Linked DNA regions of Chlamydomonas reinhardtii. The protein of the gene in region 1 binds, or shares a complex with, the protein of each later gene. Each region holds a gene or a part of one and is shown on either strand. Other genes may lie near its edges. The genes, in order: CHLRE_10g422600v5 and CHLRE_10g450400v5. A codon is read from its position in the direction of its gene.

Region 1 (3,692 bases):
GCCCGGGGCGCAAACTGGGTGCAGGTTGTTTCACGCGGCGGGAAATTAGGGCCTTGGCGGGAGGTGGGGAGCTGACCGGCGAAGCATGGGGCAGGACGTGCGCGAGCGTTATTGATCTGCCGCAGGCTCGGTTGTGGTGGCTGTGGCTGTACTGTTTGTCAACCGCTATGTGTCTGTGTGGTGCACTCCGCCGCCGCCGCCGCCGCCTTGTCCTGTTCCCCACAGGCAAGCAGGGCAAGCCCCGCCTCAAGCCCCCGTTCCCCGCGGGTGTGGGCCTGTACGGCTGCCCCACCACCGTGACCAATGTGGAGACCGTTGCGGTGAGTGGGGGAAGCAGGGAGCCGGGGCATGCGGGATGCTGCTGGTAGGTTGCCTGCGAGTATGCATCATGAGGGAAAGGCGAGGTTGCGAGTGCCCCCGCCCAGGGCGAAAAATGTCCTCAATGCGCGTGTGCATGTGCTGCGTGGCCTGGGACATTTTTGCAGGTGAGCCCCACCATTCTGCGCCGCGGCCCCGAGTGGTTCAGCTCTTTTGGCCGCAAGAACAACGCCGGCACCAAGCTGTTCTGCATCAGCGGCCACGTGAACCGGCCGGTGACGGTGGAGGAGGAGATGTCCATTCCGCTCAAGGAGCTCATCGAGCGCCACGCGGGTGAGAGGAGGGGCAGGGAGGATGCCGGAGGTGGCGGTTTACGTTGCATGTTGCGTGTAGGATGCACGAAGGGAAGGTGTGTGTGATTTCGTTTGTCGCCGACCATGGTGCTGGACTGCTGCTGGTGGCCGGGGTGTGTCCGGTCGCGGCATTCGCCCAACGCTCTGGCGCTCCTTCCACCCACGCACCCACCCGCCCATGGGTGGCCACCGCCTCCTCTCCCGCCTGCAGGCGGTGTGCGCGGCGGCTGGGACAACCTGCTGGCCATCATCCCCGGAGGCAGCTCCGTGCCGCTGCTGCCCAAGAAGGTGAGGAGGCCGCGGCCGCGTTGGGGCTGGCGGCGGCCGTGGTTGCATGGGCGGAGGGGGGTTTCCGTAAGACTACGGTACACAACAAGGGGTATGATTACGGTACACAGAAAGGGGTCGTAGGACGCCTGGACGCGCTTAGGTGCTGTACCTCGCGCTCCCTCCACATGCCCCTCCTCCTGCGCTCCCTGCCCGGGTGCCTGGCTACAACTCCGCTTTTTCTTGATTCGTCATGATTGTAACCCCCGCCCCCCCCCCCCAGATCTGCGACGGCGTGCTGATGGACTTCGACGCGCTCAAGGAGGCGCAGTCGGGCCTGGGCACCGCCGCCGTCATCGTCATGGACAAGTCCACCGTGAGTGCCGTGTGGGATGTGGACGGATGTGGAGGGATGCGGAGTTACTGTACTGCTGGCGGGAGGGGCTGGGGAGGCGCTGTTGGGGCTGTGGGGCGTGGGGGAACGTGAAGGCGCCGTCTGTGGCCAAGTTGAAGGCTTGCTTTGGCCCTCTCTGCAGTATCTACGGTGGCTTGTTTGTGGTGACAGGGCGTGCAGTGCAGTTTGTTGCTGCCGCACCTCGAACCTGACTGTCCGCCCGCCGCATACACGCACACACGCACACGGCCGCAGGACGTGATCGACGCCATCGCGCGCCTGTCCTACTTCTACAAGCACGAGTCGTGCGGCCAGTGCACGCCCTGCCGCGAGGGCACCGGCTGGCTGTACGACATCATGACGCGCATGAAGAAGGTGGGAGCGGCGTGCTGGAGGGGGGGGTGGGAGCGAGGGGGGGTGGGAGCGAGGGGGGTGGGAGCGAGGGGGCATGTGCGGGGGTCCTGCGGGCCTTCCTGCGGCTGGTCCTGTGGGGCTCCTGCGTGCGCACCTCTGTATGTGTAGGCAGGGGTGCTACTATCAAGTACAGTGCAGGGAAGTGCGCGCCAGGGGGTGCTACATTGCACACGTTCCCTAATGGTGCACATGCATGCGCCCTGAATGCTGTTTGCTCTTTCCACCACCTGAGTATGTGTACATGCGTCGTGCACCCTGGTGTGCGTGTCTCCAGGGTGACGCCCGCCTGGAGGAGATCGACATGCTGTGGGAGATCACCAAGCAGATCGAGGGACACACCATCTGCGCGCTGGGCGACGCCGCGGCGTGGCCCGTGCAGGTGCGGCTGCTGGAGGAGGCCGGGTCGGGAGCAGGGGTCGGCTGCGATCTGTGGAATGCCATATCATCGGGCGGTGGCGAGGCGGGTTGTGGGAGCGAGGCACGTCCCGAGTGTTGTACGAGGCGGGCGGGCCATGTTGTGCGGTCGCGCATGCCGGCTAACCTGCGCTTGGCTCCTCCTGCCCTAACTTCACACGTGTGGTCTCCTGCGCACTCGCTCTCACCGCGCGTGTTTGTCTCCGTGTGCTCACTGCTATGTCTCCCTGCTCCCCCATTCAGGGCCTGATCCGCCACTTCCGTGGCGAGATGGAGGAGCGCATCAAGAGCGCCGGCGGCAAGAAGAAGCTTGCCGCGACCGCGTAAAGCCGCGCAGTTCTGCTTCCTGATCAGCAGACGTGGACTCGGTTTCAGGGCGATGGAGCTTGGGCCGTGTGTGGCGGGCAAGAGCAGCGGGAGTGGAAGCGGTTGGGGATGAGCGGCAAAGTGGCGACGGAGGCATGTGCGTAGCGGCCTTCGTCGGGCGTTGGTGGGTGGGTGCGGTGGGCATATCGGCCGTGTCGGCCTGACGGTGCAGTGGCGCAGCAGGGACGGTGCAAGCGCCTGCCTGGCAGTCGTGGTGGGGACGAAGCGCATCTCAAGGTGGGAGGTGGGAGAAGAGATGGGTTGGTGCGTGTAGGCACCACACTGGGTGGGGGTGTTGCGTTTGTGGCGAACGCCTTCAATGGGTGCGTGGCTTAACAACGAGATCAAATGTAGTAGCTTGTCGTGACTGTAGGTAGACTTTAATGCTTGCGCATGCCGGCATGCGTGTAAGGCGAGTTAGTGTACTGAAGCATGCGGGCGGCATGGCTTCACGAGCCGGCCGCGGCTGATTGTGTCGGTATGAGCGTGAGGCAACACAGATTGCAGCAGGGTATAGTGCGACGGCAGTGTGGCTTGAGGATAGCCATGTAAAGGTTCATAGATTGCTAGGTGCTGAGGTGGTTGCTTGGTTCCTCCCGGAGTCCCGACACCTGGTCCGGTACGATCCCCAAACCCTACGCCACTACGCCAGCGACCTAGCCTTTTCAGTCCCAGTTCATCGGCTTTGACCGTTCATGGACTTCTGCCTAAGCCTTGAGCCTAAGCATTGAGAAAGGCTGCACCAGCACTGAACCGCGCGTTATAATTCGAACGTCAGTACCGCGCAATCTACTGCGTCTTAACGATTAAAATATAGTATAGTATGGACCAGTGGTCGCTACTAACGCCGGAGCTGCAGCTGGAGGTCGCGAGCCACTTGCCGCCCGGCGAAGTGGCGGGATGTCTCAAATTCGTCGACTGGGCCACCTACCGCAACCTGCACAGCACCTATGAGACCATTCGCCTGACAGATGGTGAACCCTGGCCGGCACAAGCTTTCCTGCTTTACTGGGGCCGTTCGGAGTGGCCCTGGCGGGGGCTCCGCGTACTGCAGCGGCGGAAGCTGCTGTGCCTGGCTGCCGGCAGCGGCCATGCCCCCAGCCTGGCGGCCGCGCTGTCGTACTGTGGCTGCAGCCTGCGTGCCGAGGTGATGGCGGCGGCTGCGG
Region 2 (4,233 bases), about 3.5 Mb from region 1:
GGGAACATGCCGGTGGTTACCCAGAAGGTGTTGTCCTTCCCGTCCAGCATGTTTTCCGGAGGGAAGCGCTCATCGCTACACGAGGCCATGACAACGAGACCTCCATTTTCCTCTCTCGCATAGTCCTTCATTGTGCTGCTAGGCGGTCAGTCAAGTTCTGCAGAGGTTCAAATGGCTTCGAGGCTGGTATTGCCGAGTGTCAACAACGTAAAACTTGATAGAGCCAAGTAGCTAAGCTATGGTATGATAGCAACGCCAGTCTGGGTGTGCATGGAGTCTTCCAGCCGAGGCCTGCACGATCGTGCAGTCCCCCCCTCCCCCCTTGGCGCCGTGGCGCAAGATGCCGCTTGGATTTACCCCTGACCCGACCGGCGCACACGAACAAGACTATGATATGACCCAAGCTGCATATGGGAATGCTGCAGGCCCAGACGCGCACCACCGTGCTCGCCCAGCCTCGCTGGCGTTCCAAGGCAATCGTTGTCGACGTGCGTTGCGGAACTAATGCGTACGTAGACCAGAGCGGAAAGGAAATCGTGTGGCCTCCATTCAAGTCGAAGCTTTTTCTGCAAGGCGTCAGCCCTGCGCCGCCATGCCCGTACAAAGTCGAAGCTTTTCCTGCAAGGCGGCAACCCTGCGCCGGCATGCCCGTACAAAGCTAGTCACATGTTCTTCCTGCTTGCGTCCACGCACGTATCCACATAAAGCCCCACACATACGTAAAAGCTCCTCACACATACCCCTCAAGTCCATTCTAAGCTAAATTCTAGTCAGACATAAGCCACTGCCCTTCTGCAAGAGCCACACCTCCTGCGGCACTCCGCCAATGTGGCACCTGAGCGCCCAGCGCACCCTGCCATCCGTAAGAGCTGCCGTCGCATACCGCCACCACGACCTCCACACCCACACCATGGACCATTTTGGCCCGCCCTCCGCCGCTCCAGACACGCTGCATCCCACAGCACGCCCGCACGCTTGCCATATCTTCCACCGCCACGAGCACGGCCGATTACGCGGTGGCGTTCAGGTCACGGCAGTAGGGCGCGCGGGGTGCCCCCGTCAGCGTGGTCTCGCCGTCCTTGGGCACCCACTTCTCGCCGCCGTGCACGGCGCCGGCGGGCTCCGCCTTCAAGCGGTACTGAGACCCAGGCTGCGATGAGGCAGGAAAAGGGGCAGCGAAGCGGTCGTTGGAGGGTTGCGGGTGTGCAGGGCAATGCACCCGGCCGCAATGCGACCCGTGTCGCGAGCCTCCATCCCCACAGTGCACGCACCGCAGACCTGTGCGGGCGCCCCGCGCTCATGCCCGGTTGCGGCCCCTCATCTCCCCCGCCCGCGCACCTTGGGCTTGCCTCCCTTCTTGATGGTGTCCAGGATGTTGACAATGTCCTTGGGCGTCAGGTCCTCGTAGTAGATGTACTCAAAGCCCGACACACCCTGCAGCCGTGCGGCAGCAGTGGTAGTTTAGATGCAAGCACACAAGGGGCGCGTTGGCAGCAGCGGTTTACGATAAGACTCGCGCACTGAATGGGCGGGGCAGGCCGGTTGTGCAATGACGGCCAGCCGACAAATCCTGGCTATAGCACGCGCCCAGCCGCTCCCACGCGCGACGTACACTACTCCATAAACCTAAACGAGCACATACCGTACTGCGCTGCAACCTCAGCCCCTAGCGTCGCTACCCCTCGCTATCCCGCACACCCAACACCCCGCACTCCCACGCGCTCCAACGCTCCTCCGCACCTTGGTGTAGTCGGCGATGGCCACCATGGGCGCGTTCACGCAAGCGCCCATGCACTCCATCTCGCCCAGTGTGAACAGCCCGTCCTGCGTGGTCTGGCCGATGCCGATGCCGAGGTGCTTGGTGATGGCCTCCTCAATCTTCTGGGAGCCCTGCAGCCTGTGTACGTGTGTGTGTTTAAGAATGAGAGGCGCAGATGGAGGGAAGCCCAGGTTCCGGGTGAGTGGGGTTGGGCGACGCGATGCGCATGTGCGTATGCAGTCGCGGGGGCTGGGCAAGGGCCCACTGGCACGGGCGTCCGGAGTCCAGCCGTGAAGGCCGAATATGGTTGGGGCCCCGGCATGCCAGCGCTCCGGCACGCCTGTGGATGGCGCTGCAGACCCCGCTGTTCGTAGGCGACACCGCACGCCCCGCGTGCCGGACGAACCCAGTCCCCGTGCTCTGTCTCCCTCCACGCCCGCCTTCCCTCCTCCCCCTTCACCTTCCTCGACGTGGCCCTGCACCGCCGCCGCTGTGCCCGGCTAACCCAGCAGCCCCTCCACTGGGAGGCGACACCCTTTGCTTACCTGCAAGGAGTGGTGCCGCAAATCTGCACGTGGTACTTGCCAATTTTCGTGCGGTTGAACATGGTGTAGAAGGTGGCCACTTCATACACGCGGATGGGCGCCATGTCCAGCAGCTTAGCCACACGGTTCATGGCCGCGAGGCTCAGCCACCCGCCGTTCTCCTGCTGCGTGACGTCCAGCACCGGAATGATGGCGCTCTGCTTGTAGTTCGGCGGGTACCGCGCGATGATATCGTTGACAACTTTCAGAGTAGCCTGCATGCACGGTGCGCACCAGGTCAAGCAGGTAGAGAGTGTTGGGCTGATGCACGCGTTTCCTTCTGTGTGTGCCTGACAGCCCTTCCACGCCTCTCTTTCGCTTGCCTCGCTAAACTCAAAGCTGGTCGCAGCATTGTTCTCTGGCGTGTCCTTGTGAATGTTGAAGATATCGGTCGAGTTGGTGGCAAAGTTGCACCGCTGCAGCAGCGAGCCTAGCGGCTGGACAGCGCGAGACGAGGTGCTAGCTGCCTGCTGCTGGCCAGTCGCGGCGAGGCGCCCTGCGAGGAGCAGGGCCCTAGACAGCATTTTGTCGCGAAATTGGTGCCTCTCCTGAGTCGCCTTGGCCGGCACTAGTCAAGCTCTTGCAAGCCCCTATGCACCTAGACTACGTTAACACACCTGTGCGACCTGGCGGCAAAGTGGCATCGTGGCACGACCGGTCGCCGGAATCGGCACGCCGTACCCGCGCGGCCACGGCCAGCCGCTTCTCACCCTCCCCCTTCCCCGCTATTGACGACAGCGGGGCAGTGCATTGCCACAATGGTGAAGAGTTCGAAAAGCATGATATCGGCACCAAGACAGGAGCGACATGTGTCGGCGTGCAGCGTGCGATGAGCAGGCGAAGCTGCGAAGGCCGGCAAGGGCCGTGTGCGGGGAGGTCCGGGGGGCGGATCCGCGCCCTGGAGGAGCAAACAAGGCGCCCTGCATCGCAGCATAGAGGAGCTGCGTCGGGCGCCCTGTTTGCTCCTCTAGTGCGCGGATCCGCCCTCTGACGTGAGGCGATAGGCGTGATAAGGGTAAGAAGTAAGAACGCGCCCTTGCAGGCAGGGACAGGCCGCGAGGGTTCCGTGGCAGTTCAGCGTGGATAACGCACGCATGTGCGGTCGGTCACTCAACCCGCTTGCTCAACAATCAACCCGCTGCAAGCGCAAGTCTTGATTCACGCGCGGAGGCGCGCGGTGACAGTGAATACTGACAGCTGACCTGTGCGCCAGCAGCGCTCGTCAGCGCTCGTCGACGGGGCGCTGCCGCTGGCGCTATCACCCCTTGAGACATTGTGTCGTATTGTCACAAGGTAAAAGGCAGGACTAAGAGGTATTTGCTCACGCACGACCAGCAAACGCTCGTCGGCCGGGTCGTGTCAGGTCGTGCGGAAGACCCGCGCCACTGTCAGAGCTCATCGTGACTATTACCTTTTCCTGTATTGCGAAGGTGGTTGCGTGCAGTGTCCTGTCCAGCACACGGTCCAAGGCCAAGGTTTGCTTGCGCAACTCTCGATCGCGCAGGTGTTAGCAAACTCAATCCCCCCCCTACACGTTCGATGCAACGTGTACAGTGGACACTCCTGGCTCAGCTTTCACTGCTGCGTATGTCCTTCACTCTGCCCGACGTCACGAAGCCCCCTGCCCATGTTCCCTTGCCACCTCATGCTTAAGAAGTGCTTCCCCTGCCAACACTGCAGCCAGTGCAGCGGCTGCCAACAGATTATCCCCCCCTGCACCCACTGCCAACCAAAACCCGAGCCCCCCCACCCCCCACCCCACACACATACACACACGTTCAAAGATGCGCAAGACTTCCAAAGCGCAAGTACACGCGTGAATCAACGGTTTATGTTACACGTTTGCCGAGTCGTGCTGCCCTCTAAAAGCAGGATGCGCTTGGTGCACCA

Evidence for each region.
Region 2: the proteins of CHLRE_10g422600v5 (region 1) and CHLRE_10g450400v5 are in contact, whole or in part, in a cryo-EM structure (PDB 9F5X), measured with the Chlamydomonas reinhardtii proteins. Residues at the interface, in XP_001702590.1 of Chlamydomonas reinhardtii: Asp58, Glu59, Arg61, Phe63, Gln64, Asn65, Ile66, Tyr67, Arg69, His70, Met78, Ser79, Arg80, Gly81, Tyr84, Met85, Glu88, Ile89, Lys92, Trp96, Gln100, Tyr133, Glu142, Pro143, Gly144, Thr145, Cys146, Arg149, Glu150, Arg153; in XP_001698508.1 of Chlamydomonas reinhardtii: Thr42 (codon at 2,744), Arg79 (codon at 2,525), Tyr80 (codon at 2,522), Pro81 (codon at 2,519), Tyr84 (codon at 2,510), Gln86 (codon at 2,504), Ser87 (codon at 2,501), Ile89 (codon at 2,495), Ile90 (codon at 2,492), Pro91 (codon at 2,489), Asp94 (codon at 2,480), Val95 (codon at 2,477), Glu125 (codon at 2,387), Val126 (codon at 2,384), Phe129 (codon at 2,375), Tyr130 (codon at 2,372), Thr131 (codon at 2,369), Met132 (codon at 2,366), Phe133 (codon at 2,363), Gly147 (codon at 2,321), Thr148 (codon at 2,318), Thr149 (codon at 2,315), Pro150 (codon at 2,312), Arg152 (codon at 2,306), Leu153 (codon at 1,896), Gln154 (codon at 1,893), Glu184 (codon at 1,803), Met185 (codon at 1,800), Glu186 (codon at 1,797), Cys187 (codon at 1,794).

What each region holds. Positions count from the first base shown.
Region 1 is NC_057013.1:715,206-718,897, reverse strand, and holds the end of CHLRE_10g422600v5 (uncharacterized protein), read left to right. Parts: intron 1-225; coding exon 226-320; intron 321-485; coding exon 486-651; intron 652-882; coding exon 883-959; intron 960-1,221; coding exon 1,222-1,314; intron 1,315-1,587; coding exon 1,588-1,707; intron 1,708-2,020; coding exon 2,021-2,125; intron 2,126-2,403; coding exon 2,404-2,487; 3' UTR 2,488-3,090; downstream 3,091-3,692. Other genes in the region: CHLRE_10g422550v5 (uncharacterized protein), read left to right, coding at 3,350-3,692. UniProt on the Arabidopsis thaliana protein: Core subunit of the mitochondrial membrane respiratory chain NADH dehydrogenase (Complex I) that is believed to belong to the minimal assembly required for catalysis. Complex I functions in the transfer of electrons from NADH to the respiratory chain.
Region 2 is NC_057013.1:4,251,086-4,255,318, forward strand, and holds CHLRE_10g450400v5 (uncharacterized protein), read right to left. Parts: upstream 2,946-4,233; 5' UTR 2,868-2,945; coding exon 2,667-2,867; intron 2,559-2,666; coding exon 2,305-2,558; intron 1,898-2,304; coding exon 1,741-1,897; intron 1,435-1,740; coding exon 1,339-1,434; intron 1,151-1,338; coding exon 1,010-1,150; 3' UTR 391-1,009; downstream 1-390. Other genes in the region: CHLRE_10g450350v5 (uncharacterized protein), read right to left, coding at 1-131. UniProt on the Arabidopsis thaliana protein: Core subunit of the mitochondrial membrane respiratory chain NADH dehydrogenase (Complex I) that is believed to belong to the minimal assembly required for catalysis. Complex I functions in the transfer of electrons from NADH to the respiratory chain.